Neodiprion lecontei: one gene and its partners. The protein of the gene in region 1 binds, or shares a complex with, the protein of each later gene. Links are inferred from orthologs where the notes say so. Each region holds a gene or a part of one and is shown on either strand. Other genes may lie near its edges.

Evidence for each region.
Region 2: pleiotropic regulator 1 (region 1) and small nuclear ribonucleoprotein Sm D3 share a complex: the UniProt entries of both Homo sapiens proteins name them as parts of the minor spliceosome. The link is inferred for Neodiprion lecontei from reciprocal best matches to the Homo sapiens genes PLRG1 and SNRPD3.
Region 3: pleiotropic regulator 1 (region 1) and probable small nuclear ribonucleoprotein G share a complex: the UniProt entries of both Homo sapiens proteins name them as parts of the minor spliceosome. The link is inferred for Neodiprion lecontei from reciprocal best matches to the Homo sapiens genes PLRG1 and SNRPG.
Region 4: pleiotropic regulator 1 (region 1) and FHA domain-containing protein DDL share a complex: the UniProt entries of both Homo sapiens proteins name them as parts of the minor spliceosome. The link is inferred for Neodiprion lecontei from reciprocal best matches to the Homo sapiens genes PLRG1 and SNIP1.

What each region holds. Positions count from the first base shown.
Region 1 is NC_060264.1:30,351,380-30,360,304, reverse strand, and holds pleiotropic regulator 1, read right to left. Parts: upstream 5,846-8,925; 5' UTR 5,600-5,845; coding exon 5,597-5,599; intron 5,461-5,596; coding exon 5,354-5,460; intron 5,235-5,353; coding exon 5,113-5,234; intron 5,010-5,112; coding exon 4,723-5,009; intron 4,552-4,722; coding exon 4,402-4,551; intron 4,221-4,401; coding exon 4,026-4,220; intron 3,954-4,025; coding exon 3,835-3,953; intron 3,743-3,834; coding exon 3,563-3,742; intron 3,394-3,562; coding exon 3,153-3,393; 3' UTR 2,995-3,152; coding exon of another isoform or gene 2,935-2,994; 3' UTR 2,823-2,934; downstream 1-2,822. Other genes in the region: protein jagunal, read left to right, coding at 135-350, 519-647; tubulin-folding cofactor B, read left to right, coding at 1,350-1,469, 1,621-1,764, 1,977-2,064, 2,227-2,418, 2,526-2,598, 2,679-2,796. UniProt on the Homo sapiens protein: Involved in pre-mRNA splicing as component of the spliceosome. Component of the PRP19-CDC5L complex that forms an integral part of the spliceosome and is required for activating pre-mRNA splicing.
Region 2 is NC_060261.1:15,626,983-15,634,285, forward strand, and holds small nuclear ribonucleoprotein Sm D3, read right to left. Parts: upstream 4,260-7,303; 5' UTR 3,879-4,259; coding exon 3,563-3,878; intron 3,315-3,562; coding exon 3,202-3,314; 3' UTR 3,200-3,201; exon of another isoform or gene 2,985-3,199; 3' UTR 2,934-2,984; downstream 1-2,933. Other genes in the region: TLC domain-containing protein 3A, read right to left, coding at 1,241-1,276; actin-related protein 2/3 complex subunit 3, read right to left, coding at 6,260-6,414, 6,536-6,731, 6,822-6,998. UniProt on the Homo sapiens protein: Plays a role in pre-mRNA splicing as a core component of the spliceosomal U1, U2, U4 and U5 small nuclear ribonucleoproteins (snRNPs), the building blocks of the spliceosome.
Region 3 is NC_060262.1:2,039,277-2,046,089, forward strand, and holds probable small nuclear ribonucleoprotein G, read right to left. Parts: upstream 4,122-6,813; 5' UTR 3,921-4,121; coding exon 3,889-3,920; intron 3,739-3,888; coding exon 3,716-3,738; intron 3,510-3,715; coding exon 3,385-3,509; intron 3,283-3,384; coding exon 3,232-3,282; 3' UTR 3,160-3,231; downstream 1-3,159. Other genes in the region: zinc finger protein 60, read left to right, coding at 1-1,526, 1,701-1,966; transcription initiation factor TFIID subunit 8, read left to right, coding at 4,508-4,637, 4,729-5,015, 5,090-5,240, 5,344-5,490, 5,565-5,722. UniProt on the Homo sapiens protein: Plays a role in pre-mRNA splicing as a core component of the spliceosomal U1, U2, U4 and U5 small nuclear ribonucleoproteins (snRNPs), the building blocks of the spliceosome.
Region 4 is NC_060266.1:20,092,287-20,100,798, reverse strand, and holds FHA domain-containing protein DDL, read left to right. Parts: upstream 1-3,917; 5' UTR 3,918-4,002; intron 4,003-4,229; exon of another isoform or gene 4,230-4,393; intron 4,394-4,733; 5' UTR 4,734-4,746; coding exon 4,747-5,997; intron 5,998-6,395; coding exon 6,396-6,401; 3' UTR 6,402-6,791; downstream 6,792-8,512. Other genes in the region: proto-oncogene tyrosine-protein kinase ROS, read right to left, coding at 7,769-8,512. UniProt on the Homo sapiens protein: Required for pre-mRNA splicing as component of the spliceosome. As a component of the minor spliceosome, involved in the splicing of U12-type introns in pre-mRNAs. Down-regulates NF-kappa-B signaling by competing with RELA for CREBBP/EP300 binding.

The DNA of each region.
Region 1 (8,925 bases):
ATTTCTATTGAGCTCGTAGTAATTCAAACGAAGGGTTGACCCAGTGACTGGAATCAATGTGTCGATAATGAAATAAATTCTTTTCACCTGTTATATCCTATACTATGTAAAAACCGGAAATTCTTGAATTTCAGCCGCTCTGGTGGGAATACATATGGTGCGGAAGCTTATTACTTTCATTTTTAGCTTTATCTGCAATACGCTACAATAGAATTAAGACAATACAGAGGTATATGTTTGGAATTGTGGTACTTGGTTATGGTCCACTCATCTATGGTGTAGTATACTATTTCAAAGATGTCTGGACTTATTTGACTACAAACGACAAAGAAAATATACAAATTTGGCAGGTAAGCCGTACTTTCGTTTTTAAAATACGATGCATTAGAATTAATGATGATGAAAGTAAATTCAAGCTATAGGTTTGAGAACTAAAAAAGATTAAAAAATATTAACTAATTTTACCAAATATCACTTGTTAGCTTAACTCGTTTATTTATTAATTTAATTTGTTACAGGGAATGCCATATGGGTTACTATGGTATGCATTTCTGCTTCTTGCCTCTCAAGTACATTTCTTTTCGTTATACTTCTCCTGGAATCTCCAGTCAGCTTGGAAAGCTCGTGGATCGAAAAAAACTGAGTAAAGATATGTTCAAGGAGTTCCAGTAAGAACGAGAAAAAGGGAGAGTGAAAGATTCGGCAAAGGGAAGAGCGGCGATGAGAAAAAGAAGACAATTATATCAGAATTATACATATGCATGTACATAATTACAAAGAGTTTTCTTTTTTCCGACTATACAGATTCCAACTGAATGTTCATACATAAATACATAAATTGGAAATATTCATTTACGGATATTAAATTATTTTATTTAAGGTCCTGCTGCGGAAATACAATGTATTTCGTACTTTCTCACTTATGTCTTGTGTTTTCATAACTGATGTACTTGCTTCGTGAGAATACAGGAAACAGTACAAAATTACGGGAAAACACAAATATGTTTCCAAAATTAGTTCAATCTTTTGGGTCATCAAGTACGGAAGATTGTGGGTTTGGTCGCCTCATTGCAGCCTACTCAACATACGGCTAATAGTGAATGTTGCAGTAGTGCAGGCGTTTCCCTCATTTATTCAGCCGACGCCTAACTGTCAAATGTAGAGGCTATGTTACATTGTCACGATTGGTACAGTTGTGGTACAGTTTGATGATATTCTTTGGTTTCATCTACTGCGTATATTAGTTTTACTGTCTAGATTGACTGGTGAATATCGAAAATTCGAGGATTTTTCCAAACCGTACAGTTGAACAAATCTATTTCTTATCAAGCGAATAGGGGTTGTTCAAAATGACAGAATACAGCGTGGTAACCTCAGACTTCGTTAACCTAAACATCACCAATTCGGGGCAACAAACTTGCTGTGTCGAAAGGAGATTTCAAAAGGGAATCACTCTCGATGATTTTAAGGTTTGTAACCGGTAGACCGATGTTGAAATTTTCTTAAAATAGTTGAGCAAAGTTAGGCAAATAACAGTAAAAGAGTAATCATAATCCAATGTCTCTTTTTTAACTCATATTTAGCTGCCAGAATGTTATTGACAACTGACTCTTGTTTCAGGGTAAACTCGAACTCCTTACAGGAGGTAATTCAGCCACCATGAAATTAGAGGTGTACGATAAAAATGACAAACTGATCTGCAAACCTGATCAGGGTGACCGCTTGTTGGGATCTTATCCGATCGATGATGGAATGAGAGTTCATGTAAGATAAAAACTTCATGTAGAATTCTTTTTTCTGTCATGTAAAACAGTCGGCTTGTTTTTTCTTTATCAAATTCTCTACCGAATATTTCATTGGCTGATAAAAATCTGAGATAAAGTAAAAGAGAAAAAACTTGTCCATCTGCTTCTATTTATTGATTTATTATTTCTTTATATCGAATCGTTGTCAAAATATTTTCTCGCTCTGAACAGGTGATAGATAACTGCATTCGACCTGACGATGAAACTGCACAGGTGGATAAATTCGAACTGTCTGAATCGGAGTATGCCAAACGATCCGGTAATTCATACATCTGATGCATGTATAAAAACTCAGGCTTCCAACAGTAAAAACTGGCCAAATGCTACTTTTCCACTAATCATTACTTGGGCATTAAAGAATAATTTTTGAATTTCATGCTTCAATAAATAATCATAATGACAGCAGAAATTTTTTTTTCAGACACAGTGAAAGCATTCCTAGAGAGAAACAAGTTGGGTAAATATAATGAGGAAGAAACTAAGAGAAGGGAAGAAGAGAAACGTCGAGAAGAGGAGGCAGATGAAGCCGCTGCCAGAGCTTGCAAGGTCGGCGATCGTTGCGAAACTCAAGTACCAAATCAACCGAGACGTAGAGGAACGGTCATGTATGTTGGTAAGTAATGATGAGCAACGATTGCCCAATTGCACAATATTTTGCCTCCATTGTATCTTTTATGTTCATTTGCACTGGGTTGATAATTTTTGAATAATTCTTTGCAGGTAAAACCGAATTCAAGTCTGGTTGGTGGATTGGTGTCAAATATGATGAGCCATTGGGAAAAAATGATGGATCGTAAGTCACTTTGGTAGTTGGTCATTTTAATGTTGTTTTCTAAATAGTTAATATTCATTCAAGATTATTTGTATTTCTAGCGTCCAAGGAAAAAGGTATTTCGATTGCCTGCCGAATTACGGTGGTTTTTTGAAGCCTGCACATATCAAGGTGGGAGACTATCCGGAGGAAGATTTCAACTTGGACGAGGAACTTTAAAACATTATAACTAATCGTAATCAGCATTTGTGGAAATGGAAGCTTTATTTACAATCAATTCGTAAATCGTCTCACAATACAACTTATCATTAAATTGTTATTGTATAAACACAACCTTGTTTAATGTTTATACATTCACTAATATTTTCTTCGCTTAATGATGTCAGGCCTCCAATTAATCGGATGACTTTCTTCGGACTGTAAAAAATCATTCGCACATTTAATTAATCACGGAAGTGATTATTAACGATTACAATAAATAATCAATGGTGAAACGAAACAGAAATTCCAGACATAGATTACTGTGATACCATTTGGTCGTTGCATTAAATTATGTTTAAGTTTACGATTTGTTGTTACAACAGAAAATAAAAGTAATATGAATAGGAAACAATCATGGTAAATAAGTTCATGCGACACTTAATATAAATTACTAAACGCACCGCTGTGTCGTCTTCCTTGTAGACTTTTATCGTCTTGTCGGCTTCGGTAGTTATCATACGTGTCCCCGACATGTCGAATGTAATACTAAAAACGCCTGCTTCGCTATCCATTGAACCAGGTTGAACTGGGGCTTGAAGTCTCTGGAAGTTGTAGCTATAAAAATAAATCATTTGCTACAATTATTTCAGTCCATTGATTAACCATAAAAATTATATTACTAACTAAAACGAGGTGCCGGATACAGAATAATTATTAGGATTATTTGAAAAAAAAAAAAAATTCAAAGTTTCAACAGATGAATATCTAAGATTTGAAATCTCACCCGGTCCTCCAATCCCATAACTGCATGGAACCATTGTCAGCACCAGATACAAGTACACCATCCGCGTTAACGGCCAGGCAATTGACAATTGCATTATGACCAGACAAGTTTTGGATGAATTTTCCTTCTGGGCATTTCCATTGTTTGATATTATCGGGTGAGGCTGACGCGAACATGTATCTAGAATATCCGAAAAGATCAAATAAATGCGGGAAACTGGGCAACATAAATCGAGATTGAGATGCAAGATTAGATAAAATTAAGATACGCACAACGCCGGATGAAACACAACAGATCGAACGCTCTTTTTATGATTTGTTAAAGTTGCTCTAGATTTTCCGGCAGCTAAGTCCCACAGTCTGATTGTACAGTCGTGGCTACCAGTTATGACCTTAAAAATTCAAATACATTTAGATGCAAGCCCCATTTATAAAATCGGTTACTGTGGACATCATTCGTTCACCTGAGGTTCTGCTGCCTGACATATCACACTAGCTACTGTATTTGTATGCCCAGCCAGCGTGTGAACGTTCGCTTTCGTTCGCATATCCCAAACGCGAGCGGTCGAATCTCTGCCTGCTGTGACTAGTACATCAATATTTGGATGCAGAGCCATGGAATAAACTGCTGACAAGTGACCATGGTAGTGTCTTATAACCTAGGAAATGCAGTTTAATATTCTTATCTTATTGGTCACATAGTATTTTTAGCTTCGATGTCATTTTCATATTTTGGGTACTTTTAGACTTGTCTATCTTTTTTCTTTTACTTTTCTGTATTGACACTTTTAGGTATTATTGATAATTCCAAGTTCTTACAGCGCTGTACTATATATTTACCTTGTTGTATTCTAGATCCCAGCATTTGACTTGACGATCTTCGCCACATGAGAATAGATACGGGTGTCTATGAGACACGGCAAGACCACGTACGCTACTGATATGTCCGGTTAAAGATACTTTCAACTTTCCGCTAGCAAGATCCCAAATCTGTAAAAATGTTGCATTTTTCATTAATGCTGTACTAGTCGATGTTTTAATGACATTGAAAATGTAGTTAAAAATCTTGTGAGAAATTTTTAACAAAAATGATGTAAATGCTCAGGACGAAATTAAATAAAATCTTATAAATTAACAACTAAGGAATAGATGCCCTTGTACCTTGATAACTCTGTCAGCTGATCCTGTAGCGAACCAGTCGTTGCCAGGTTCGATAGCACAGCACCGTACCCAACCAAGATGGCCACTTATTACTCTATACAATTTCCAAGGAGCATGCCAGCGTGGTTTTGCTATTGCTGGGGTCTTTTTTGGTGGGAGATTCATGACAGTTGACGAAGTGCTGTTGGTATTAGTGGGCATTGATGAGCTCAAACTGACTGAGTGGCCCATTCCACCACCGTAAGGTACCATCGCAGATGAATTGTTACCTCCATTGAAGGTATCATCTGGGCAAGATAAAAGCGACATCGTATGAATGATGAATTCGCCAGATAGTTTCGATTTATTTTGTTCAGTTAAATTAAACAAAGACCGTGACGACTAACTTACCACCAGGTGGGGGAGGGTCCGAATTGTGATCATGATTAGATTTTAGGTGATTGTTTCTTCTAACTCGATCTAAGACTGGCGAGTAAGAGTCTTTAGATTTGATGGCTTTTTTCAGCAATTCCCTGTTAACAAAAAGAGACGTTTATTATTAAGACGGTTTTTGCACATCAGAATGTGTTGCATTATGTATATGTGTTTAATGAGTTCACAATTGGGGCTACATTATGAGTATGGTACTTACGTTGAAGGATCAACCGGAGGAAGGGTTCCTTGATTTGACAAAAACATATCATGTGTTCTCTTAAGAGAACGAAACACCAGGGTATGTACCGAGTGTCGTTGCACGTCCTGCCAAACATGAGAAAAGAATGGTGAATTAAGACTGAAGTGACAGTAATAATGACGTGGTACATGCTACATAAAACGATGCGATGAGATTTTGGTCCACAAGGTAGTTGACGACTTATTGTAGATCAATAATTACCATAGCTATTGAAACAGTCACTGGCGACAAAAGCAGTCGGTCACGATAATCGCTATACAAGTGTCGGTTGTATTAGTTTAACACAAACAATATTTTTTGATACATTTGCTGATGATCATGTGAATAACGTTGAGAAATTAAGAAACAAAATTGAAAAATGTATCTGACGAAAGCCAATCAAAACAGACAGAAAATATAACCAAAAAACGAACACCGCTTGTTTTCTGAACAACCATGGGACCTAATAGTTCAAGATTACGGCTTAAACCTACGCTAGAGTGCTGCGACAGGCGGTTAAGACAGCGACCATTTTCGCAGGCTTTTCGCTGTAGGAGGCGCTATCGACAACACTCTGCTTGTGCGCTACACTACTAGTATCAAGCATATGGTAGGTATCAAGTCACAAATCGCTCTTCAAATCCTATTGGATTTTTCCACTGAAATATGCCCAATTCAAGAATATACTTGAATAAATTCTTCGGTGCACTACGGACACATAATTTCAGAGGAGGAACCGACGGCGCGCAGTCCCAACACGCTGCGAGCAACGGATCAGAAGTTACAGGCAGAAAACCAGAACCTGAGTTTTTCACATTTTTCAGCTGGTGATCTTTTCGTCGTCATTCGTCTGCTGTTGGTCCTACGCTGTTTTCGCTGCGTTTTCTAAGTTTCTGGGAGTCCAATTAGTCAAGAAAAGGTCATGCAAATCGAATCTGAGACCAAAAATTTTTCGGCCCAAAAATAAGTAAGGCTAACCCCTTTGTATTTTTGGTGAAAATTTTCGCGATTTTGAAAAGTGCTGGAATAAACTCTTTCGTGCACTTTTCTGACGTAGTTTTGCGAGAGAAATCGATTGGGCGCAGTCCCAATACGCTGCGAGCAACGGATCAGAAGTTACAGGCAGAAAACCAGAACCTGAGTTTTTCACATTTTTCAGCTGGTGATCTTTTCGTCGTCATCTCTCTCCCGTTGATCCTACGCTGTTTTCGCTGCGTTTTCTAAGTTTCTGGGAGTCCAATTAGTCAAGAAAAGGTCATGCAAATCGAATCTGAGACCAAAAATTTTTCGGCCCAAAAATAAGTAAGCCTAACCCCTTTGTATTTTTGGTGAAAATTTTCGCGATTTTGAAAAGTGCTGGAATAAATTCTTTCGTGCACTTTTCTGACGTAGTTTTGCGAGAGAAATCGATTGGGCGCAGTCCCAATACGCTGCGAGAAACGGATCAAAAGTTACAGGCAGAAAACCAGAACCTGAGTTTTTCACATTTTTCGACTGATGCTTTTTCCATCGTCATTCGTCTCCCGTTGATCCCACGCTCTTTTAGCTGCGTTTTCTGAGTTCCTGGGAGTCTAATCAGTCGAGAATAGGTCATGCAAATCGAATCAAAGACCAAAAATTTTTCGGCCCAAAAATAAGTAAGGCTAACCCCTTTGTATTTTTGGTGAAAAATTTCGCGATTTCGAAAAGAGCTGGAATAAATTCTTCCGTGCATATTTTCGACGTAATTTTGCGGGAGAAATCGATTGGGCGCAGTCCCAATACGCTGCGAGCAACGGATTAAAAGTTACAGGCAGAAAACCAGAACCTGAGTTTTTCACATTTTTCAACTGCTGCTTTTTCCATCGTCATTCGTCTGCTGTTGGTCCTACGCTGTTTTCGCTGCGTTTTCTAAGTTCCTGGGAGTCTAATTAATCAAAAAAAGATCATGCAAATCGAATCTGAGACCAAAAATTTTTCGGCCCAAAAATAAGTAAGGCTAACCTCTTTGTATTTTTGGTGAAAATTTTCGCGATTTTGAAAAGTGCTGGAATAAATTCTTTCGTGCACTTTTCTGACGTAGTTTTGCGAGAGAAATCGATTGGGTGCAGTCCCAATACGCTGCGAGCAACGGATCAGAAGTTACAGGCAGAAAACCAGAACCTGAGTTTTTCACATTTTTCAGCTGGTGATCTTTTCGTCGTCATCTCTCTCCCGTTGATCCTACGCTGTTTTCGCTGCGTTTTCTGAGTTCCTGGGAGTCTAATTAATCAAAAAAAGATCATGCAAATCGAATCTGAGACCAAAAATTTTTCGGCCCAAAAATAAGTAAGGCTAACCCCTTTGTATTTTTGGTGAAAATTTTCGCGATTTTGAAAAGTGCTGGAATAAATTCTTTCGTGCACTTTTCTGACGTAGTTTTGCGAGAGAAATCGATTGGGCGCAGTCCCAATACGCTGCGAGAAACGGATCAAAAGTTACAGGCAGAAAACCAGAACCTGAGTTTTTCACATTTTTCGACTGATGCTTTTTCCATCGTCATTCGTCTCCCGTTGATCCCACGCTCTTTTAGCTGCGTTTTCTGAGTTCCTGGGAGTCTAATCAGTCGAGAATAGGTCATGCAAATCGAATCAAAGACCAAAAATTTTTCGGCCCAAAAATAAGTAAGGCTAACCCCTTTGTATTTTTGGTGAAAAATTTCGCGATTTCGAAAAGAGCTGGAATAAATTCTTCCGTGCATATTTTCGACGTAATTTTGCGGGAGAAATCGATTGGGCGCAGTCCCAATACGCTGCGAGCAACGGATTAAAAGTTACAGGCAGAAAACCAGAACCTGAGTTTTTCACATTTTTCAACTGCTGCTTTTTCCATCGTCATTCGTCTGCTGTTGGTCCTACGCTGTTTTCGCTGCGTTTTCTAAGTTCCTGGGAGTCTAATTAATCAAAAAAAGATCATGCAAATCGAATCTGAGACCAAAAATTTTTCGGCCCAAAAATAAGTAAGGCTAACCTCTTTGTATTTTTGGTGAAAATTTTCGCGATTTTGAAAAGTGCTGGAATAAATTCTTTCGTGCACTTTTCTGACGTAGTTTTGCGAGAGAAATCGATTGGGTGCAGTCCCAATACGCTGCGAGCAACGGATCAGAAGTTACAGGCAGAAAACCAGAACCTGAGTTTTTCACATTTTTCAGCTGGTGATCTTTTCGTCGTCATCTCTCTCCCGTTGATCCTACGCTGTTTTCGCTGCGTTTTCTGAGTTCCTGGGAGTCTAATTAATCAAAAAAAGATCATGCAAATCGAATCTGAGACCAAAAATTTTTCGGCCCAAAAATAAGTAAGGCTAACCCCTTTGTATTTTTGGTGAAAATTTTCGCGATTTTGAAAAGTGCTGGAATAAATTCTTTCGTGCACTTTTCTGACGTAGTTTTGCGAGAGAAATCGATTGGGCGCAGTCCCAATACGCTGCGAGAAACGGATCAAAAGTTACAGGCAGAAAACCAGAACCTGAGTTTTTCACATTTTTCGACTGATGCTTTTTCCATCGTCATTCGTCTCCCGTTGATCCCACGCTCT
Region 2 (7,303 bases), on another chromosome or scaffold:
ACACAATCATGTGTTTATACAAACGTTGACACGAATCGCATTTTTCGTTATTTATAGGGAAAATAAGAATAGGGTCAGTCATCGAGTAATCATTTCATCTAGAGGAACTTCATTTTATAGGACTAAAAAACAAATTTGGGACAGCAAGAACGAAAGGTTAAAATTCTTAAAACTCGTTTTAGTTTACCATTAATTAGGTATCGGCGACCGTTACATAGAATATTCAAGTTCTTTTGATTCTTATTGTCACGTCATTATTCTTATTTAGTGCAAGATGTAGAATCATCACTAGATTAAAGTTAGTAACGTTAACACCGTGAAACATTGGATGAAAGTCACTATTTCGCTATTTCAAAACAACTTTGAAGCAGTTGAGTTTGCAAGTTGATCAAACCTCATTTTATTGCGATTTTTACAATTTCAGAAAATCCCAAATTTACGAAACATAGGTTTTTCCTGAAATTGCGTAGCTGTATTGACCCTACTAATGTCAAGCTCGTGAATTGTTGAATTAGAATTCATGCCACTACAAAGAGAAAGAAATAAAAGCCACAAGAAATATGAAGCCATCACAGTTAAGCACTTTTTTTATACTCTCTGCGTATGAGTATTATTTTCAACCTGGTAAGTGAAGCAGGAAAGAACCATCCGATTGTTCAATACGTTAATCATTGTCTTTTGAAAAGCTGAACAATGAATATAAAATGCATCGGGATGTCTCGATAAATGGAACAAACGCAAGTTAGAGCAAAGTGAAAGAAAAAAATTTTTTTTTTGGGTAGACGGAAGGGGAGTTAAAAAAATACATGAATAATTACGAGGCTCAGCCAACAATAAGCCGGGTAATAATCGGGGTGAACGACTTTTGGAAAGAGAGGTTTCCCTCAAAGGTTGTTTAAACGTGATGTGAATCGCTTTCTTTTCTTCTCTGTGCAATTCTAATACAAAATCAACAATTTCAAATGCGATTTACACAATCATTAGTGCTGAGTTAATCGAACCGAATAAATCAATAATATTTTTCGTGAAGGGTAATAAGTAGTCTCAATGCCCGGCTGACAACCGGTAAGAAATTATTTCACATCATATTCCGTGAATTGCGGTTCGTTCCGTATTTGAATAACATGGAACGATCAGAATAATCCTGACTCAGACTTGAGTAGCGAATTTTGATACGATATTCTTGCGCAGATCAAAGAGCAGTGATAAAATGAAGTGAAATATATTCGACAACGCTTACCTCTTTGTTTTTGCCGGAATTATTTATGTGCACCATTTTACCACGTCGTACGTTTTTTTTTTTCTTATTCTTCACCGCTCGACTGCCGTCGATCCCGTTTAGGGTTTTCAACCAGATAAATCGCTATTCTCACAATCTCTGTCGCTCTCTCTCTCTCTCTCTCTCTGGACAATTTTCACCTATTCATTTGACATTTTCTTACATATCTAAGCGTATGAAATCTATCGCGTCTTCTACTGACAACATTTCGTTCGATAAATAGCTAACAGCTCGCTAGTTTCGCTAGCACTCTGATGTTTCATGAGCTGCGAAATCCACTCTACTGTCCCACAAATCCAAAGTGGAAGGGGAAGTCGTTCAGCTCGAAAGAGGGTTTCAGCGCTCTCTGTGCAACTTTGTTAGAACTTGGAACTTTGATTTGCCGATTTTACCAACCACCCTAGGACGGAAAATTTTACCGTTCTGCAAGTCGGTTTGAATCGCAAGTTATGAAAAGAGTAAACAACAGTTACGAAATCCCTGGCAATGTTATTTGCGCCAATGATAGTGAATACCAACGAAACAATATATTTACTGGGCCATTGGAACGGATCTCACTGTTAGAAAATGTCAAAAGACGTTGATTAAGCTTAACTTTATCAAACTGGAACCGCCAAAAAAATAGGCCGATTATTTGTTGCATTTGTATAATCCATATAAATTTCAAATGAAAACATATAATAGCAATGTAACAAATGATCTGCGATAGTCATACTTGACAAATACCTAGACTTTTCAGGATATTTTTCGCAACAGAATACGTGAGCTTTTTTCTAAAATCAATTTGTTTTATGTAACGTTCACATGAGTCGGTGATTTTCAAGAAACTTAAATCCCCAGGTACAACCTGGCACTTAATTCGAATAAGTACAATTTTGAGAGCATCTACTTGCATCTTATTCCTGTATATAATAAGATTTTTTAAATCGGCAGCGCTGCCAGATTTCTGCAAGACACTACGATTCACAAGTTGAAACAGAAAGATACATAGGTACATGTACACAACCTTGCACTCAATTTTAGCCTCTAATTATCGTTTGATTCCAGTGTATCAGTTTTTCGAAATCTATCGTCCTTCGCGGATTTTTTGTTTTGGAGGTTCCCGCTTGAATTAAAAATATCATGAGCATTCAATTTCTTAATGAAGTGTCTAATTAGTACGTAATTAGGAACTTTAGATTCATACAACTTATAATAAACATTCGAAAATTCTTACACTATAATAGTTATAATGCACAAATGTAATTGTTGAATATCTGCTGCACTTTTCTGACAAAAATCTATTTATATGCACTCTAGATGTAAATTGTTTTTGAAACTACTTTAGACGAATTTTTTCTATCTCTGTAGGGAATGAAATATCAATTCACAATAATCAAACCTTTCTTGATATCATAGCTTGTGTTATTCAGACCTCTCAGATGCATTTTTATAACGTAGTAGATATTCTCTTTTGTGTTGACAATCGTTGTCGCAAATAACATAGTTAAAGATTCTTTCAACAATCTTTCCTCTTATCTTAGTATTTCATTCAGGTCTTAAGATAATTAATGTAGAAGAAAATTCATAATAATGCTCGCATTTGCCCATGTACCTCTGGTTGAGACTTACAATTAGACGGGATGTTACAATGGAATATGAATGAAAACCACAATACAGCAAGACAGTTGTATTCTCCACCAGGTCTGTTTTCTTGTTCAAAGTCCTAAGGGAGTAAACACAATGACATTAAATTTTTGAATACTTATTAATTTACATTGTTATTATCATTAGTGATCACTGCCTACACATATTGTCACAGGCATGTACGGTTTCAATTTACGTTTACATGGAATTATTTTTTACATCCCTTATAAAAGTATGAACTAAATAAACTTTAGTGCACTAGATATAATGATAAACAAAAATGATCCTTATAACATTTATCCTCTTCCTCTTCCAGGTTGTGAACCTCCTGGTTGGTTTTGCTGATTCAACCAAGGGGCCGAACCCGTGCCTCTGCCTCTCTGGTTTTGACCTCGTCCCCTGCCCCGTGCTAAAAATAGATATATTCGGTGATAATTTGCGTTGGAAAAAGAATATTGATGCATAAAAGTGCAAAACTTGTTAGAAAAATGAGTCTCTGAAACATTGCCAGTCAAACAGAAATATGAATTCGAATCGGATTGCATTCCACATTGCTGAAATAAAATGTTCAGTAGGCCAAAACATGTTTACGGACTTCGATTTTGATGAAAAACTGAAAGATTCTAGATCTATTTGTATTGGTGTGAAAAAACAAACCCTGTGCCCGTAGTATTGCAGACTTTCCTCTGCCCGCAGTGCCGGCGCCTTTGCCACCGGGTCTTTTGAACATCGGGGCATTTTTCAACATATCCGGTAATATAAGGAACCTTATTTTTGAGCCCCTAATGTAAACGTTCTCTAGCTGGCCTACGCGTCCATCGCGATAAGTGACGGTCAGGTTTTGCATTTGACAGTTCATGTTGTCTTCGGCTTCTATTAACTTTCCGCGGTAAACCTCGCCGGTGTTAGTTTCACAGGTTATAGTGTGACCTTCGGCTTCGTGAAGTACTTTAATTGGCACCCCGATCGACATTTTGACACTTATGTTCCGATAATCGACACTAAAATCTCACTAGCTCACGAAAAAACTGGCGATTGAAACGGATTTATACCCGTGTGAAGTCTGTGTCGTTGCATCAACGTTTGTCGACGGACGCCAGCCACTTTCGTTTCGTTTACGAAAATGGCCGGAGAGTTACTTAGTTCGAATTTTGGCCACTTGGCTTATCGTCGGCATCATGGGTCGGCATCACGGCTTACTTTAGAGCATATAATATACTATACATGCTCCAATACCCGTATTCAGCCCCCTGACACTCACCACTGCTCGTATACTAAAAAATTGTACGCGTTTTGTCCCCGTTTTTTAATTTCTCTACGTGGATACACTTCAGATGCGTATTTTACTAATTTACGGAGTGTGTTTATAAAACGGAGGCTTATAGGTTATGATTGCCGCCCTTTTTTTTTACATTTTATAGCGGAAATTTCACTTTTTTCCGTAAGAGGCGCTCAAATCGCATTTAGACAATTCCACTTACGGTACCTTAAAACTGGGGACAAGTTTTATCGCAGAGTGTTGTCTCCTTCCTACTACTCCGTGAAGGAATCCTTGTTCCTCAAGGAAGGAATATGAATACGGGTGTAAGAGTAATCCCACTCAAGTGGCATCGGAACCGTTGTATATGGAGGATTACAAAGAAATGAAATGTTTCGTTGATCAAACGGACCTCGTTTCTTTCGCTGGTAGATAGCGCTGCAGTCGCACAAGGTCAACACTTTCGGACTTTAGAGCATATAGGATTAGGCATGAATATATATGAGTAGGTTTTATGTGTACGTAGCTGCATTTTTTCGAAAACCCTATGATAGCTTGATCTCTGGCAAAGAATTCGTTCTTGTCCATCTCTGTCTAACCCTCCGTGTCACCAAAGTTCCCAAAAGTTGTTAGTCCAATCAATTGCAATCAACTTTGCCACCATCTTGTGCCAAGTCTTGAGCAAGTTCATCAGCATCCGATTGGCCAAGCTCAGCCATTTTGTGGCGAAAACAGCACCAAGAGCGGTTTGGACACACATCTATTTTGGCCGTGTTCGAAAATTGACTGACAGTACTGTCAGCAATCTTTTATCTCTTTTGCGCTACCAAGTTCGTGGATAGCTCTGACTCTGTCCTAGGGAATTTTCAGTACTGTCAGTCAATTTACGAACACAGCCTTTTTACATACATCCCCGTTGACATCAGTCGATGTCAGCGATTTCAGCGGCTATAAACTAGCTTTAAAATCAGGGCTTCTTCTACCGCGTAGATATTTAGGTATTTAAATACCAATTTCAGACTTGTATACCCTGTATACAAAGACCTCGCTTAAGGCTCAGTCTCACAGAGCACGGTGCGGCAACACAGATCCAGCAACCAATAAGATTGCAGGTTTTTGGAAGCGCGAATTCCGCTGCGCCAAGAACGAATGCATGCCGCGTCGCGGCTTGTGAGACTGAGCCCTTAGGCGTTAGTGATTTAAATTAATTCTTGGAGCACGTCGCACGTTAACTGAAGATGATGTATTGCGTACACTTATGCTCTAATCGTGAAATGCATGTTAGCCGAAAATAATTTCGGAGAAATTTCGGGAAATGAAGCTATGGCTGAATTTTTTAAATCCGATTTTTATATCCGCAATATAAAATAAAGTTTTTATTGAAAATTATATTACGTGGGATGAATATGCGTAGGTATATTTATACGTTTCACAAATTGTTTTACCTTTGCCGTTGGTTCATCACATGCGTGCGTACCATTTGTTTGCCTGATTTGTAATTATCTACATACCTATAACATTTTTCCAACAAAATCCTATCTAATTTACAACAAGGGACATTTACACTTTAAAATCCACTAGAATTCTCGGCTAGATATTTTTTTTATCTGTAATAAATTAAACAATACAATTGAAGTGTGTTTTGCCCGATTTGTGATTACCTACATACAATATTTTTCCAACGAAATCCTATCTAATTTTTAACAGGGAACATTTAGCAATTTAAAATTGACCACAACTATCAGCCGGATATTTTTTTCTTTCCTTATTTAATTAAACATATTGTGTTTGCAGGATTTGTAATTACCTACACACAATATTTTTCCAATGAAATCCTATCTAATTCGTAACAGGGAACATTTAGTAGTTTAAAATTGATTACAACTATCAGCCGGATATTTTTTTTTCTTAATAAATTAAACATATTGAACTCAACATTGCAGGAAAATTCTAAAAATTGTTGATTGATGTTAATAGAAGTGTGAAAAACAATTAATAATTAACATGTAGCTCACTCTTCAGAAAAAGACAAGAGCCATAAAATGAACCTATCTTACAGCGATTGGATTGAATTGTAAGAGAAGATAATTTACAATTTATTGGCCAGGTCCGGATAATGACTTGTCCATAAACTTCTTCTTGGCGAAACACAGCCACCATTTGCTGGGCTTTCCATCTTCTCCATAAACCTTTTCTACGACTCTAATGCCAGTTTCCTGGCGCAACTGTTGTAAATATTGCCTCATTAAATCTGAAAAAAACCATTACAACATTTAGAATATAATTCATATTTGTGTTACACTTGAAGTAATGGTAGCAATTTGTGAAAAAATTAGGAAAATGTGTTTGATTTTGTTATTCAATGGTCTTACCAGCATCAGACGCAGTATTTGGCTTAGCATAAACAGAGTTTAATGGGAAACCGGCTTCTCCTGGAATATCAAATTTGGAAATAGCCAAGGTGTACATCTCATTGGTTGCCTGATTTTTGTTTGCACATTTCTGTAATTTCTTCAAGCATTCAGTGATGTACAAAGTGATGTAAATTAAGACTCGGTCAGCTTCGCTCTGTAGAATATTTAAGGGCGAAGAAGTGGTAGTAATATAAGTGTACAGTACATACATTACTTAATGTAACTATACAAATTAAAAAATTACCTTAATTTCGTAGGTTCGAAAGAAAACATTTGCTTTAAAGAAATACAAAGCTTCGTCTATTATATCTAATTCTTTGTTACTGAATGACGGTGCTGGTCCTCGAAACTGGGTTTTGAACGGTAGCAATGCCATGTTGCCAACCGTTTGGTTATTTTCTAAAAAACTTGAATGATATGCCTGAAATTTTATGCAAAATTGGTATGATAATGTGAAAGTGAGAAAGTCTATCAATAGTAGAAAAGCAAAACACGTCAGAATTTATTGACACGGTAATAGCATGTTGACAGTTAAATTAGGTTAGGTAAAATTATAGTCCGTGATTTACTTCAAGAGTAAATCTGAAGTGATCTTTGACTATCAACATCTCGTTAGTAGGTCGATTGGATCAAGGTCAACGACACTGTTAAATTGTGACCCCGTGTTATGATTCATGATATCAAAGGGATACACCCATTTGACAGCTCCTGAATGCGGAAAACCAA
Region 3 (6,813 bases), on another chromosome or scaffold:
AGTCTTTGGAAAACTTTTGCCCTCTATTCCGATTGTTTTCCCACCACAGAATACAATCGTCGGCAAAAGACCGGGTTCTGAGACCAACGAAGGACCCGCCGTGAAGCAACCCAAGATAACAAATGTGTTTTGCACTCCACCTCAACACGCAAGGCTTGGTCAACAGTACATTAAAGTTTCCTCGGTCACGCAATCCAACATCGTTCAGCCGATGTCTCTCAATGATTGGTTCGCTTCTCAGGCAAATATCGTAACCTCGAGCCAAAATACAGCTCTCAAACCTTACCTGACCCCCATCAGAGTCGTCCCTATCACCAGCCTGAAGTCAGCCCCTTCGCTTCGGCATCAAACTCACGGTATTCCTGCGTTTTGCTTGGTACCGGACAATCTTCCCAAACCTGTACCTGTCTCAAAACTGCAGGCCATTCAGCCAGCTCCGATAGCTCCTAGCCCGCCAAGGTCTGTTGCACAAAATAATGAAACAGAGAATGTAGAGCAGCAGAATTCACAGACAGCAAAAAGTGCGACGAACACAAGAAGGAAATCTCAAGCTCGTAGGAAATCTGAGGAGAAAAATTCAAAGGTTTTCAAATGTCCTTATTGTTTCAAGGGTTTCAGCACAGATTGGTATTTCAAAATGCACGTAGCTGGGCACACGGGAGAAATGTTATTCACTTGCAAAACGTGTGAAAAACCATTTAGCAATAGATACGATATGAAAAAACATATGCTCAATGAGCACAATGATGGCGAATGCAGATGCGAGATTTGTGGACAGATATCTATATGCAAATCGGCACTTGAGATTCACATTCGGTCCCACACCGGTGAAAGACCCTTCCACTGTACAGAGTGTGATCTGTCTTACAGATCGAGCACTGACCTTAAAACGCATCAACGAAAGCGACACAACTCTACGGACTGCCCATACTGCCATATTCATCTTGTAAAGGCAGATCTTCAGGCACACTTGGTGTCGTGTCATCAGATGACGGAAAAAGAAGCATTGCATGAAATTCTGCAAGGACAGGAACAGGCAGTGAATGGAAATGAATCGTCCGAAATTGAGGTGTCAGATTGTGAGTCAATGGCAAATGGAATCCTGATGAGAATTAAAGAGGAGCTCATAGAGGAGGCAGCAGCTGTGAATGAAACTACGAAGTTTCAGAGTAGTCGTAATGGTTCAGATTCAAACAAGAGGAAAAAACAGATTGCAAATAAACCTGCCCATACGAAGTCTAAAGGAAACGGTGTGCACAATGCAGAGGGAAACCAGAATGTATGCAATTTGAAGGAAACTGAAACTAAGCCTATCGTTGTCAGGAGGAGCACTAGGAGATCGAACTCTAATTTTCAATGTACCATTTGCAAAGAAAATTTCGATAGCTCCACACTGCTTGATGATCATGTAGCTAATGAACCCAAAGAAACTGTGGAATGCCTCGCATGCAAGAGCTTGTTTCACAGCCAGACTGATTATGATAAACATGGCAATAGCTGTGGCAAAAGTTCCTGCAAACAGTCGTGTAAGTATCATAACGAGTGAATTGTGTAGAATACAGAGTTTAAATGTATAGAAGAAAATTTAAAAAGAAAATTTAAAAAAAAACTCAAAAAATCGTACCTTTGTTTGATTATAGAAAAAAGCAGTTGAGTGAATTTGAACAGCAATGATCTAACGATAATTTGCCCTCCTGCAGCTTGCCTGAAAAATTCAACAACTGGACCGCTGAGACCATTCCAGTGTGAGATCTGCCTGAAAGTATTTAAAAATGATGGAAAACTCCGTATTCACATGAATCTGAGTCCGCAAAATTTCATAACGTGCGTTAGATGCGGCAAGAAATTTCACACTAATCGCGAGTACAGATTGCACATGCACAATAATTGTGTTGAATTAATTAAGTGCCGTAAGTGTAACCGACAATTTTCAAACAAAAGAACACTTGATAACCACATTTGCTGAATTCAGAAGGATGAGGGGTACACTGGATTCTTATGAAAAAAAATCATTATTGATTTGTATGTTTTCTGTAGTTCTCTCGTTATATTTCGTTGCTAATAAGTAGGCCATTATACACTAAGTTATTACTTTAGCTAATATAATTTTCTGCATTGCATTGAAACTTTTCTTTGTACTCCCCTTTCTTTTTTTTTTTGACTGCTTACCGCACATTACGAAAGTAATAAGGTGTGTGTAGAATGATTCTATATTATCTTAAACAAGGATATCCTCAAACGAATTCATATAATTGCAAATGTAAAATTTTAAGATAAGAGGAAAAAAAATTAAGGTATTTACCGAGTATTCTGCACACTATTGTCAAATTTTAATTAAAAACTATGTGAGGGTAAGATTTTATGGTATTTCTGACAAAGGAAGCTATATTTGCTTCTTTATTTTATATACAATGTATAAAGTATGCACGCATTTATTTTTATGATTATACCTATTATTATTCTTGTAAGTCAGACCTTTGTTCCTGCTTCGAAGACTGATGAGCACTTACGACAGCAAAAATCCTCAGCTCATCGCAGATAGTATTATTAAAATTTTAGTTCCAAAACGGTTTCATTAAATCGGAATTATTCAGTCTAATAAAAACATCAGTAAAAAGATTGATTTTATGAACATAGCAAATGTATTTTGACATTTTTAAAATAGAATTTGTATAATTTTTTTTTTATTCACTTCACCTGAATAACTCATTATAAGAATAATTGATTTAATCCAGTATGTCTCTGTACTGTGCAGTACGAATCTCAAATTGGCAAACTAACCCCTTGTACGATATTTTCGTATTTTTATAAAATCCAGTTATACATGTAACAGCGAAATGCCTACCATAATTAATTATATGCCATTGCACCATTTTTTTCCAGATTATATTTTGTGCACAATATATTTAATAATCAGCTTAGCTGTATTGAATGTTCACTTTCTCGTTGTTCCGAGCTAAGAAATGTGAGAAAATTGTGCTGCTTGGAATCCTGTTTTTTTTGTTTTATTTTATACTTGTATTTGAACATAAACGTTTGAATTCTTTTAGTCTTCATGATTTTTCTCCAAAATTATTGTCACTCCTAACTTATCATTCAATCATTTACAACTATGTGTACACTGTAAAATAAGTGAAAAATTAAATGTTAAATACGGCGTTACAAATACAAAATGTTTTTATTCTTTCTTTTTCTCTTAAATACATTCTTCCATCCGATTCTTTTTAATAATTATATTCTATCCAACGCCTCTAGCATTATGACACTGTTTCCTCGAATGACCTGAAATAACAAAAATGATATTGTCGTCAATACTTCGTGCGGATATAAAAAATGATTTGCATCTTTCCTCAAGCAATTGCTTTAGATTTTTTAAATTCTTACCACCATTCCAATGTTATTCTTCGTTCCGTCTTTGCATTCTTCGACTGTTTCGTCAATGACCATGTTCATGAACGGATCAAATCCTCGCAGGATGCCAATCACGTGTCTCCCGCCATTCAGTTTTACTGCCAATTGAAAGTATCGTTAATAAAATACATCAAATACCATTCCTCTCAATTTTCTAGAAGAGGGTTTCGTGCGCAACATGATATTTGGCAATATCAAATATTTATAACCTTCCAAAGCTAGGTTCAATGAACGTTGAAAAAATAAATGAATATCCCAAACCAAGTCAATATTATTTGATACTAATTTAATCCTCTGAACTTACGGGATAACTTTTTGTCCATGTATCTGAAAAATATAATGAAAAATTAGTATATATGGGCAATAAATGTACCGGTAGGTGAAGTCTAACCTTAAATTTAGCAACGTAACCTAAAAATTCTTGGCAAAGAACTGCGGTTATTCGGCGTCGGTTTGACACGCAAGTTTATCACTTACTTTTTCAATTCTGGGGGATGTGCTTTGCTCATTTTTAATAGATGTGTTGAATTTTAATTGAAAAATCGGGGCAGTTTGATGCTCACACTGTCCAACGATGAGATTACGAACAACGTAAAGCGACGTGAGACGCTTTTACAAATTTGAACATCTAAGGTGTGTTACTGCGCAGCCATCTCCACGAACAAGTCGTATTAAGAACCAACCGTATGAAGGCCATCTTGGATTTTCAATTGATCCCATTCAATACCATCTATATAGCGTACAATTTAACAAGTAGGAATCTCCACTGTACTTATAAGATACGTCATATAATTTCAAGAAGGCTTCTATGGTCGGCGCAGAACGGGACGAAATAGCGTCCACCGGTGGAACACGCTTTATTTTCTTACACTATAGGATGCTTCCATCGTAAGGTCCACGAAGCATGTAATACCATTTGTGGTAAGGTCAGAGTCAGGTTAGGTTAAAATTACAGCCAAACGAGAAACGAGATTTGAGAGGAAGAAAGTAATTTCTCCTGAAACCTCGTTTCTCATTGGCTCATAATTTGAACCTAACCCGACTCCAACCCTTCGATGGAAACAAGACCAAACAGTAATAGCCAGTTGTATTAAAAATGGAGACCCAAACAGTAAACACGAGAAGAAAAGTGTTAAATCATGTAGTTTGCAGTATTTTGGTCGAAAATGGTTTCGAAACGTGTGAAAGACAGGCGCTGGAAACCCTCACCGAAATGTTGCAGGCTTGTAAGTGAATTTAAGACTTCTTGAACGCTGTTAAACGAGTTTACCCTATAAACTAAAAAAGAATGCTTACCCGTAATTATGAACATTGTAGTTATCGTCGAGGTCGGAGATTCGGCGAAAAATTACTGCGAGCTGTCTGGGCGGACCGAGCCTCTGATAGCCGATGTTATTCTGGCCCTAATTAACATGGGAATCAAATTAGAAGGGATGGAGACGTATGGTAAACGTCTAAACAGGACTGTTCTGCCCCAACTTCAACAACAGATACAGGCCAAACAGCTCAATATTTTACAAGCTGGAGTAAAGCAAAATCATCCGTCGCACATACCTAATCATCTGCCACCATTTCCTGATCCTCACGCCTACATCAGGACGCCGGTGAGTCATAACTTCCATCAACTACTCATCATTTTGGTAGCACATTAGTGTAACTATCGACAAATGGTGTTCAGACACATAAACAACCTGTGACGGAATATGAAGCTATCAGGGAAAAGGCTGCATCGCAAAAACGGGACATTGAACGAGCCTTGACAAGATTTATTGCCAAAACAGGGGACACGCATAGTCTGTTCTTGACCGAAGACAACACCATGTTTCCCTGTAAGTGGTAGAATTAATTGAGTTTGGAAATTTTCAAAAGTAATATCTTATATTCTAAAATTATTGTTTTATTTATTAATGGATTTTCTCAACTTCTCTCAAGTGATAGCATGCAAGCCACAATTTCCCAGCTATTTGTCAGCACTTCTACCACAGGATCAAGTTTTTGAGCCTGATCAAGAGTTCCAGTTTGAACCGAGTCCGGTTCAAAAAAAGAAGAAGGCACCGCCTGTAGAAGACAAAGAAGAAGGTTTGTTCATAATCTATAGAGACAATGAGTCAGAAAAATGGTGAATCTTGTACTGATGATGTTTCAATTTTCAGCCCAAGCACAAGCAGATGGGACAGAGCAAAGTGGAGAGGCATTAGCCCAACAAGATGTGATAGACAATCCTTATTTGAGGCCAGGCAAACTGCCAAAGAATAAAATAACTGGTACGAATCCGACTGGTCCTGGAAAGAGAGAAGCGACAGACGTATGACTAAAGATTTAGGTATTATTTTGATATTTGGTTTTTAAGCACGGAACTTACTAACTGACAATTACTTTATTATTACTGATGCACAGAGGAAGATATTGTATATTTATATATAGTAAATTAAGTTATCATAAAATTAATAAATATATTTTAAAAAAAATAACAATCCGACTTTAGTTACTCAAGTTGTTATTATTGTTATCATAAATTGTGTAAATTTGCTGTGAGTCATTTTTTAATATAAAGGTCTACTGATTTATGTTGAGTACAATATTAATATATCTGTAGATATCCATAAAATTGCACAGCTCACTAGCACCGATATACATACAATAAGAAGGCAGCGTTTAAGGATTGATAAACATCACAACTATTTAAAGGGACCCTAGGTATTGCACGAGACATTATAAAAATAGATTATACAATATCGCATAGACGTACATATAACGATTACCGATTACATATGCACCCTACATTGCGAAGCTATTCATAGCTTAATTGGAAGCCTAACTAATTGCTTTTATTATAGATAATAATGACATGAGACCTTCATTGATTCTGTGAAAAAATATTAATGCCATGACAGTGCGACGATTTGATAACTGCAATTTAGTATATCAAATATGCAAAAAATTTTTTAACAAGCCTTTGTGAAATATGAACTATGCGTTCTTTGTTCAATGGATGAAGATCGATTATAAAATATTTACTTTCACTTATATTCTATGTAACAAACATGATTGGATTCGTCTAGACTCCTATAAAATGATAGACCAGGCATTGATTCGTAAAGTTTACTGTAATACCCTGTTTCTAATTTCTAATTTCCATTTATTTTGCTCTTTCTTGAAAGGCATTTGATTGTAGAAAATCACGCAACTACACGCGATTGTCGGACAAAATTTATTTTAATTTGCAGACAAAATTAGGTGTAACGAACACAACGACCGATCCAAAATTCAACACATTCTAAGTTCAGTCAAGTTCTTTCACCACAAGTAAAAAATTATCTATAGTTTGATGATGCAGTGTGATAAACTATTGCAGCAAGCTGAATATCCATATGTGTCTAATATCAGATTAGTACTTGATAA
Region 4 (8,512 bases), on another chromosome or scaffold:
GTCTTGGGGTGCCGTTATCGTAAGATTGTTTTTTCTCGTTATTGAAGTGAAAGAAATATGAAAAGTAGGCGAGAATATTCTGTTTTAGATTCGAAATTTGTCGCGTGCAGTGATTTGGGTCGCAGAGATATAAATATAGCAGTCAACTGGCACCGCGAAGTCGCTTAGGCTACGAAAAATTCACACCGTCAATTTTTCTTCGTTGCGAGTTAAACTCAGGTAACATTCGAAATTATTTACGCAAGTCCGAATCCTCTGTACTCGATCTTCTAATCAAAATGTAGTCACGTTGAATCTTAGCAAGTGCAGTGCGTATTTTAGAGAACGAGTTTATTATATTTGCCGGGTGAAAAATTATCGTGGGCTCTCCATCGGTGATATTCTTTGTCGCGTGATGCAGTCATCGATTCGATTGCCATTTCAGTGATAATTCCGAGTGCAATACAAAATTTGGTGAGTGTTCTCCACAGGAATATAAAATTTATTCAGTGTTCTGCGGAGGAATATTTAATTCACGCCCGAAAGGATACACTTGAGACGGTGAGGCTGGACCGATTTTCAAGATGTAGCGTCGGTGAGTCGCATGAATTTAAAATCACTGATTATTTCCAACTGTCCACTATTTGAAAATTTTCAGTTGTACGATGACAAAAGTATTCGAAACTTACATTTGTAATTTAGTTACTAATGTCAAAGCGGCAATAGAAAAAGTTTTTAAGCGTTTCAAATGTTGGCCAAATTCAATTTGGCAACTTTTTAACTTGAGCTGGTGATTAATTTTATTGAAAAATTAACGGCTCGTTGATTTGAAATAATTTTATGGTGAACTATTCAACCGAAAAGCAAATGTCCCGATCGGTGCGTAATAAGATGATTTGAATATGTACACTATTTCTGTTGCATTTTTTTCTCGATTAGCAAATATGTTATATTTAATTCTGTCGACAAAATTCTTGAGACTCAACTTTAGTACAAATAGGATTAATTACTGAGCACATACTTTGCGCAATTTAATGGAAACTAATTAATTTCGAATTAGCTTCTTAATATAGTTACAATCTAATAGTTAAAAAAAAAAAAAAAAAAAACTCGTTTATTAAAAAATTATAGTTTCGGTTACACGGTTGTGCAGAACATAAATAAATTTTTCTCTTACAAGTAGTGAAAATGTGTTTCCATTTTGTGCAAGTTTAGTAGCCAAGTTTTATACAAAATGAACCAGAAATTTTTGTCATCGGATAATTAATTTCCTACGATGCGGCGTCACGCATAATTTTTGAAGAACACTTTCTTTTGTTCCTCGTGTTTACGGTATTCTTGGAGTGTAGGGACAATTTTTTTGCCATTTACGACACATTGATTCAAGGTGGGCTGGATTAGTTAATATTTTTCACAATATTCAGTACACAATATATTACAACTTATACGATGCTTTTATAGATTGTGTATATTTTATCCCAAGGCGTAAAGATAGTGAAAGAAAATTTGGAATCGGTAATTGGGTCTTACTTGAGAAAAATTACGCATGTTCTTGAATGAATATAAAAATGAACAATGAAAATGAATCTATCACGAGGTTCGTTGCAAATTAACCGGAACGAAGAATAGAATACTTGTGGATTCATTTAAAATTTTAATAAACTGTTCAAATCAGCTTTCAGTAATACGACTTTTTAAAAACGTGACGAAAAACAGCTGATAAGAATTTATTTTACTTTCTGTATAATATTGACGTAATTATCACACCATATTTTTCTTCTCAATTGTTAAAATCCTAAATAACGATTATTGTCAATTCGTAGTTTTCCAAGGCGCTAGAAAATATGGGAAAAAATCTCCTTCTCACAGGGAAAATTTTGAAATGTTCAAAATTACATAAATGACATAATTGAAAAATCAACGGTTGCTTCTCTATAATAAGTTGAAGCGAGGATAGTTAGACGTTGCACTGTTGCACATTTATTTAATTTCAGTTGATAATATCGAAGAGGTTGTTCAAAAAAAGATACGTGATTTGTAGTCACCTAAAATAAAAAGAGTACCGAAAACGATAATCGAAGGTAGTATAGCAAGAAGATAACCCGAGAATTTCCTTGCGCGTATCTATAATTTAACATGCAGATCACTTTGTCACAAACCATAGTCATCCTTATCGTAAGAAAATTTTTTTTTCATTTAATATTTAGTGTCACAAGTGCGCGTCGTAGATTTTTATTATCGTCAAGTGAAAAACGTGTCGGCGCAAAAAGTAGAAACACGAAGCTTTAGAATTTGATACACGTGACAAAAAAAAAGTTGATGATCGATTGCAAAATCTTCGGAAAGTTTGGAGTCTCGTGTGCAAAATAATTCAATAATTGATGAAATTTAAAACTTTGAAAAATATCGAAAAACTTGACTACCAGGAGTTTAGATGTGCATATATGTATATGATTTTAGTAATGGGTGAAGCAAGGTGGAAAACTATAGCCCAAAATTTGCAAAGAAATTAAAATTATTTAATTCACTTAACAGCAACATTCGTCAAATCCCAGAATCAACTTTGTTCGAATAACAATTTCATACTCAACGGTGATCGATATCAATTTAAACTAGTTTTGCCATTTCATACGAATTCTTTAGTCATGAATTTATTCATTTTTATATTTATTTATTCATAAATTTATAAATTTTGCAGGATAAAAGTCGTTTTTACGTAGATCAGTACAAATTGGCGTTGATAGGTAATTAGCCAGTGCTTACTTGAATTTAGAATTGAAGTATCAACTCTGAATTGTTTTTTATCACTTATTGTACTCCAAGAAATTGATGTCGGAATTATTTTTAATTTTCAGAATTATTTTTTACTTTTTTATTCGAAAAATTTTATTGGTAATCTGTTTAAATTCCCTTGATTCGAAACATTGAATAAAGTAGCAGTTGTTTATTTTGAAAATTAGAAAAACTTAACTGAGAATTAATTCTTCCCCTTCGACGAGCAAATTCGTATCATTATACAATTACGTTCAATATTTAAATTAAAAAACTCAAATCAGGAATTTTTCGGAAAATTTTTATTCTATCACCGCAATTAAAAATTAACGCTGTTAATCGTAATTTTTAGTTTGAAACTGAAGAATAGCCCGACACTGTTACTTTGTATTACGTAATTGTGTAAAAAATGTGCAGGCAGCGGGTTGCAAGACGATGCGTTCGCCGGGTGCCAAATACCTTATTTGAAACCATCCGTATACAATTGATAACGATTTGATTACAAATAATCCGGAAAATCCATCTCGGGACACTCGGCCGAAATTCCGAGAGGGGACGCTGTAACGAATAGCGAATAAGATATTCCAGGCTTTTTGTTTCTTTTGTCTTTCGGTTCCGAGCAATTATTGCTGGTAGCGTTGAAGCGTCCAGGTTTCGAATTGAGAGTTGCGCGCTTGAGGTTTGTAAAACATGTTCATCCTTTGGTTAACTTCTTCGGCTATTTCTCCTATCGTTTGCATCAACGAAAGATTTCCAACTCTGTTAACAGTAAACCAAGTGTATGTTTATTGTGCATCTATTTAGATAACACAATTTTTGTCGATCCGATGGAGTTACATTAGCATTGCTGAATTTGGTTCGGAGTGATCTTGCATAGTTGAAACGTATACGGCGTCGTCACGGGGTTGTATGAAAATTTCAGTCTGTTCCGGTTCGTCTTTTCCATAGGCATAATAATATTCATTCGACTCTGAAAAATCTGGATATACGCGGTAAACGATGGTAACGTCAGTTCTCGTCGTCTTTACGTACCGACCATTTGTCGGATTGGGTTGCGTGTGCAAGAAAGGCCGCAGAGAGCGCCACGTGACGATCAATTTATCACGTACACATTTCATTACGAAAAGTCTCATAAGGCTTTCAGTCTTTACGTGTCCCTCAGTCAACGTCTGTTGACGAACAGAGTTGCATCGGTTCGTGCTGTACAACTTGGGGAAGAAGTCACCAGAAGTCAAGGATACTTTGAACAAGGTAAGTTGTAAACATATTAGGAATAATTATTACCGTGCCTCAATTTTTCTTTCTGGTGCAAGTGAATCGTACACCAAAGACAAACTTTCTCGCGAGCAACAGTTTATTGTCATTTTTCCTTTTATTATTTGTACCGTAATTTGAATTATTCTACTCCAATCGTCCGGTCTAGGGACTATTCTTGGCCGGCCGGTGGCATCCCTGCTATTTACGAGACAATCCGACAAATGGCGGAAACGACGGATCTTGGTCGGTGTTTGACAATTTGAAACGTCGTACTTTTTGCTCGGATTTTTAGCGTCGCGAATGAATCGAAATATCAGAAATTCAGTAGCGATCTTAACATTAATCGCAGATGCCTACATTTAGTGAAACCCACTAGCCATATTTTGTAAGTATTTTACTTTTGATAATCCACTGGGTTATAAAATTTTTCGGATGCTTTCGCCTTCAGTCAACTCGTGTACATAACCTCAAACAACAAATGTTGGTGTGTGTTGAGTGGGAAAATTATTAGTGGCAATCAAGGAGACTTGATTGAATTGACGTCACTTATTGCATCCTCCCTACACGCAATTTGGCGTATTTCCAGAGCTGCGAGATTATTTTTAACATTCCGAATAATCTTAACGCCAGAATAAAATTCAATACGGCAACCCAGCGCATACTATCGGATGCCTTAACCTCTAAAATTATTTGTTCGATTCCATGTCTATGGTTTAATTCAACAGGAAAATCTGGATAATGGGGCGAACGAAAAGGGAACGCAAGGCTAGCAGTTCAGAGAACGAGTCTGATAGTTCCAAGGACGAAGGTTCGTCGAATTCAAGTGATGCCAAAGAACAAGCACCGCCTTCGCCGAAGCAGCGCAAGAGGCAGATGGAGAAAGAAGAACGTGTAAGGCCAAAGGAAATGCGCCAGGACAGAAACGTAGAAAGATCAAGATGGGAAAGCCCGGACGGAAGGAAGCGGAAGCACAGTCCTCAGTCTCAGAACCAACGGTACCCGGCGTCACGCGACGACAGAAGAAAGGGTCACAGAGAGCGCCAGGACGGCGGAGAGGCCAGAACCAAGTGGGAGAAAAAGGAGAGAGATAGAGATATAGACAGAGATTTGGAAAAGCGAAGGAAGGAGGATAACCGCAGCCAAAATGAATCTGACAACCAGCGGAGGCGGGAACGAGATGCTCCGGAAAGGTCGAACAGAAACTACAACGGTGAAAATCGACCCGTCGATAGGTTTGACGGCAGAAGGCAGAACGAAAGGAAGTCCCCTCGGCGAGACGAGAGGAACAGGGGGTTTGAAGAGCGAGAACGAGGTAGACATAACAGCGGTAGAGGTGGCAGGCGAGGGGGTAGAGGAAACAGATTCGGGGATGGCGATGGGCCGAGAAGCAGTTTCGACGGCTCCAGAGTAAAGGGTGAGCCGTCGCCGGAATGGGGAAAAGCGGATATGAAAAAGGAGAACAATGGGAAGCCAATTGAGAAGGAGAAGCCAAATTTCGAGCCTTCTGGAAAGTTGACGGAAGACGCAAATACTGTGAACGGTGTGGTGATAAAATACACAGAACCAATGGAGGCGCGAAAGCCGAAGCGCCGTTGGAGACTCTATCCCTTCAAGGGTGAGAAGGCGTTGCCCACCCTCTACGTCCATAGGCAGTCTGCTTACCTGATGGGCAGGGATCGCAAGGTTGCGGATATTCCTCTGGACCATCCGTCTTGCTCCAAACAGCATGCCGCTCTGCAGTTTAGGCTTGTCTCATTCCAGAGGGAAGATGGTGGCGAAGGAAAGAGGGTCAGACCGTATTTGATAGACCTAGAATCTGCCAACGGCACTCATGTTAATGACATCAAACTCGAGCCTAAAAGGTATCACGAGCTCTTGGAGAGGGATGTTCTGCGCTTTGGATTCAGCTCTCGGGAATACGTTCTTCTGCACGAACAGAGTAAGGATGATGCTCTGGATGATGACGTCCCATTTACATCTGCTGTTCCGGTGAGAAATTATTAATGACTTTTGTTCTTTCGTCTTTCTACTTGATGTCAAGTTTCCGTACAGTTGTAATTTACCTTTCATACTTTGACAGCGATAAAACGATATAATCTCAAAATTTTACGAAACAAGACATAAAACCAGGCAACTAATGAATAATAAATCTTGGATTTAAATTTCTCTTTGCTCCAAAACTGTCAAAGATTTGTCATCAGAAGGATACTTTTAACCGAGCAGTTTTTCTGTTATATTGCAATAATCCACAGCGCACTGTATATTTTGTTGTTGGCTCTACATATTTACCATAGAATTCAGTAAAATTCCCCAAAGAAATTTGCGGGCTCAAATTAGTTGATGAGAATGTAGTTTCCTTAATTTTATTTCATCATTTTTGTTTGCAGAAATGAGCTTAACGGGCTTACTGAGCATACGCGGTGCTCGAAGAGGTGGAATGTCAATGTAGAACGATGATATTGCAATTTTATGGAACGCAGGTGTATCGCTAGATTGCATCGGTAGTTTGTTGGCAACGAGCGCTGGAAGAGTGTTTTGAAGTTTTAGAAAGATTAAATGTAAATCAATAGATCTTGATGAAATATTTTATAGATATTTTAAGATCAAGGAATCGAGAAATTTGGATTGTTATTTCTTCAGAATTGTTTACTTTATTGTCAATCCTGATTCACAAACTTTGTAATGTTCTATCCGGTAAGACATGGCGTACAAAATTGAATCTGTACACTACCAATGTGAAAAATAAAACAATCGCATAAATTAAAAATATAAAATGTCATGAATCTGTGTTACCTCTTCATTTCACTGTCGGTTATTTTATTTATTTACATCGTTACTTCCTACGTTACGCATTAGGACGTAGACGGATAGTGGCCAAGTATCAGATACGTTGGGGTAATTTTGGTCACCATTTTCGGCCCACGAATCTTTGGATATTTATTACTTAAACAATATACGAGCAATTTTTCACTGACGCAAAGTAATATTTACAAAAGTAATTACATCATTCAATTATAATCGTTTATATTCCATGTAATGATTCCTTCTTTCATTTTTTATACAATATAATAAAATTAGTATCAAATGATCAAGGAACAATACAAATGTTACGTATGCAAAATGACATTTGAAATGGAAATGAAGAAAAATAACTACAATAAGACATGAAATGATTATTTTAAGCGAACTCGTTTTCAAGTTTATTCAAGTTGACTGGAAGATGCTTAATACTTGAGCATGTGTGTGAAAATGTGGTGTAAGTTGATGGATGAAAATCTAATGATGACATACTAGAAAAACATTTAAAAATATAATTATTTACAATTTGATTCACGCTAGCTTATATTTATTCATTTATCTTAATTATTATCGTTTAAAAGGCACTTTAAAAGTTAAATATATGAGCAGCACGTTGAAATAATTTAATTACAGCAATATCGGTACACGCCTTTAATATACGTTTTTAAAGCTTGATAAAATATCTCAACCTTCAACTTTGCGTATAATAATATTGTTGTCTATGATAAATTTAAACTTAACAATTTCGTATACATCGTCGCAATCGTTTGCCTTTGATTTCAACAACACGTACGTACGTCAATTCATAGTTCGGCATTTTAAAACAGGTTCCAATGTTTCTTACCGATTACTTATCATAATAGTAACGAAATTATGTACTACACAAATGATCAATCATGGCAGTCAAGGCTCTAAATATCTACACTATAATATCCAGTTTCTCAAATATCACCTTTCATCATTACCCATTTACTCTGACCGCGTCAGAGTTTATATTTGTATAGGTAGCGATCTCATTTCCATCTTCACCTGTATCTGGTGTTTGCCTGAGAGAATTCAGTAAGGCACTATTTATTGCTAAAGGTATATTCGCTTTCCCGTTTTGCAGAATCGAATGTGTCCTGCTTAATTTCGAAATTGTATTTCTTCCACCATTCGTATCGCTCGATAGAATGTTTTGCTTAGTTGCCCCATTCTTCTTCAATGGCAAAGTATTCTGAGAATTTAATAACGACGAGCTTGGCCTAGAAGGAGTCAAGCTTGTCGACGAGCCGTGGGAGCTGCTGCTTCTACCGCTCAAACTAGTCAGCGATCCTCTGATTTCTGTTGAGATTTTTTCGCTCTTGCGACTGTCGTCAATGGAACTCGGAGAGTTCGTCGCGGCTATACATTTGGAAACATGATTAGCCAACCTTGAGCTATCCAAAATGCAGAATTTTTCTCCTGTGCTGGAAATGGAGGCTCTTTTTGGTTCCGTCAAGTCAAAGTTATTCGCCGATTCTCTTTTTTGATTTACAACATCTTCCAATTGTTCACGATCCAAGTTTGAGCTTTCATTTTGCGAATCTGATAGTTCTGGTATTTTGCTTTCCTTTTGAACTTCATTTTTATCCAGGCACTGTACGGGTCTCGGTACTTCATAGCCACCAGTCGGAGTATCTCTAACATCAGGTACGTCGTTATCTGCTATTAATTCTAAATATTT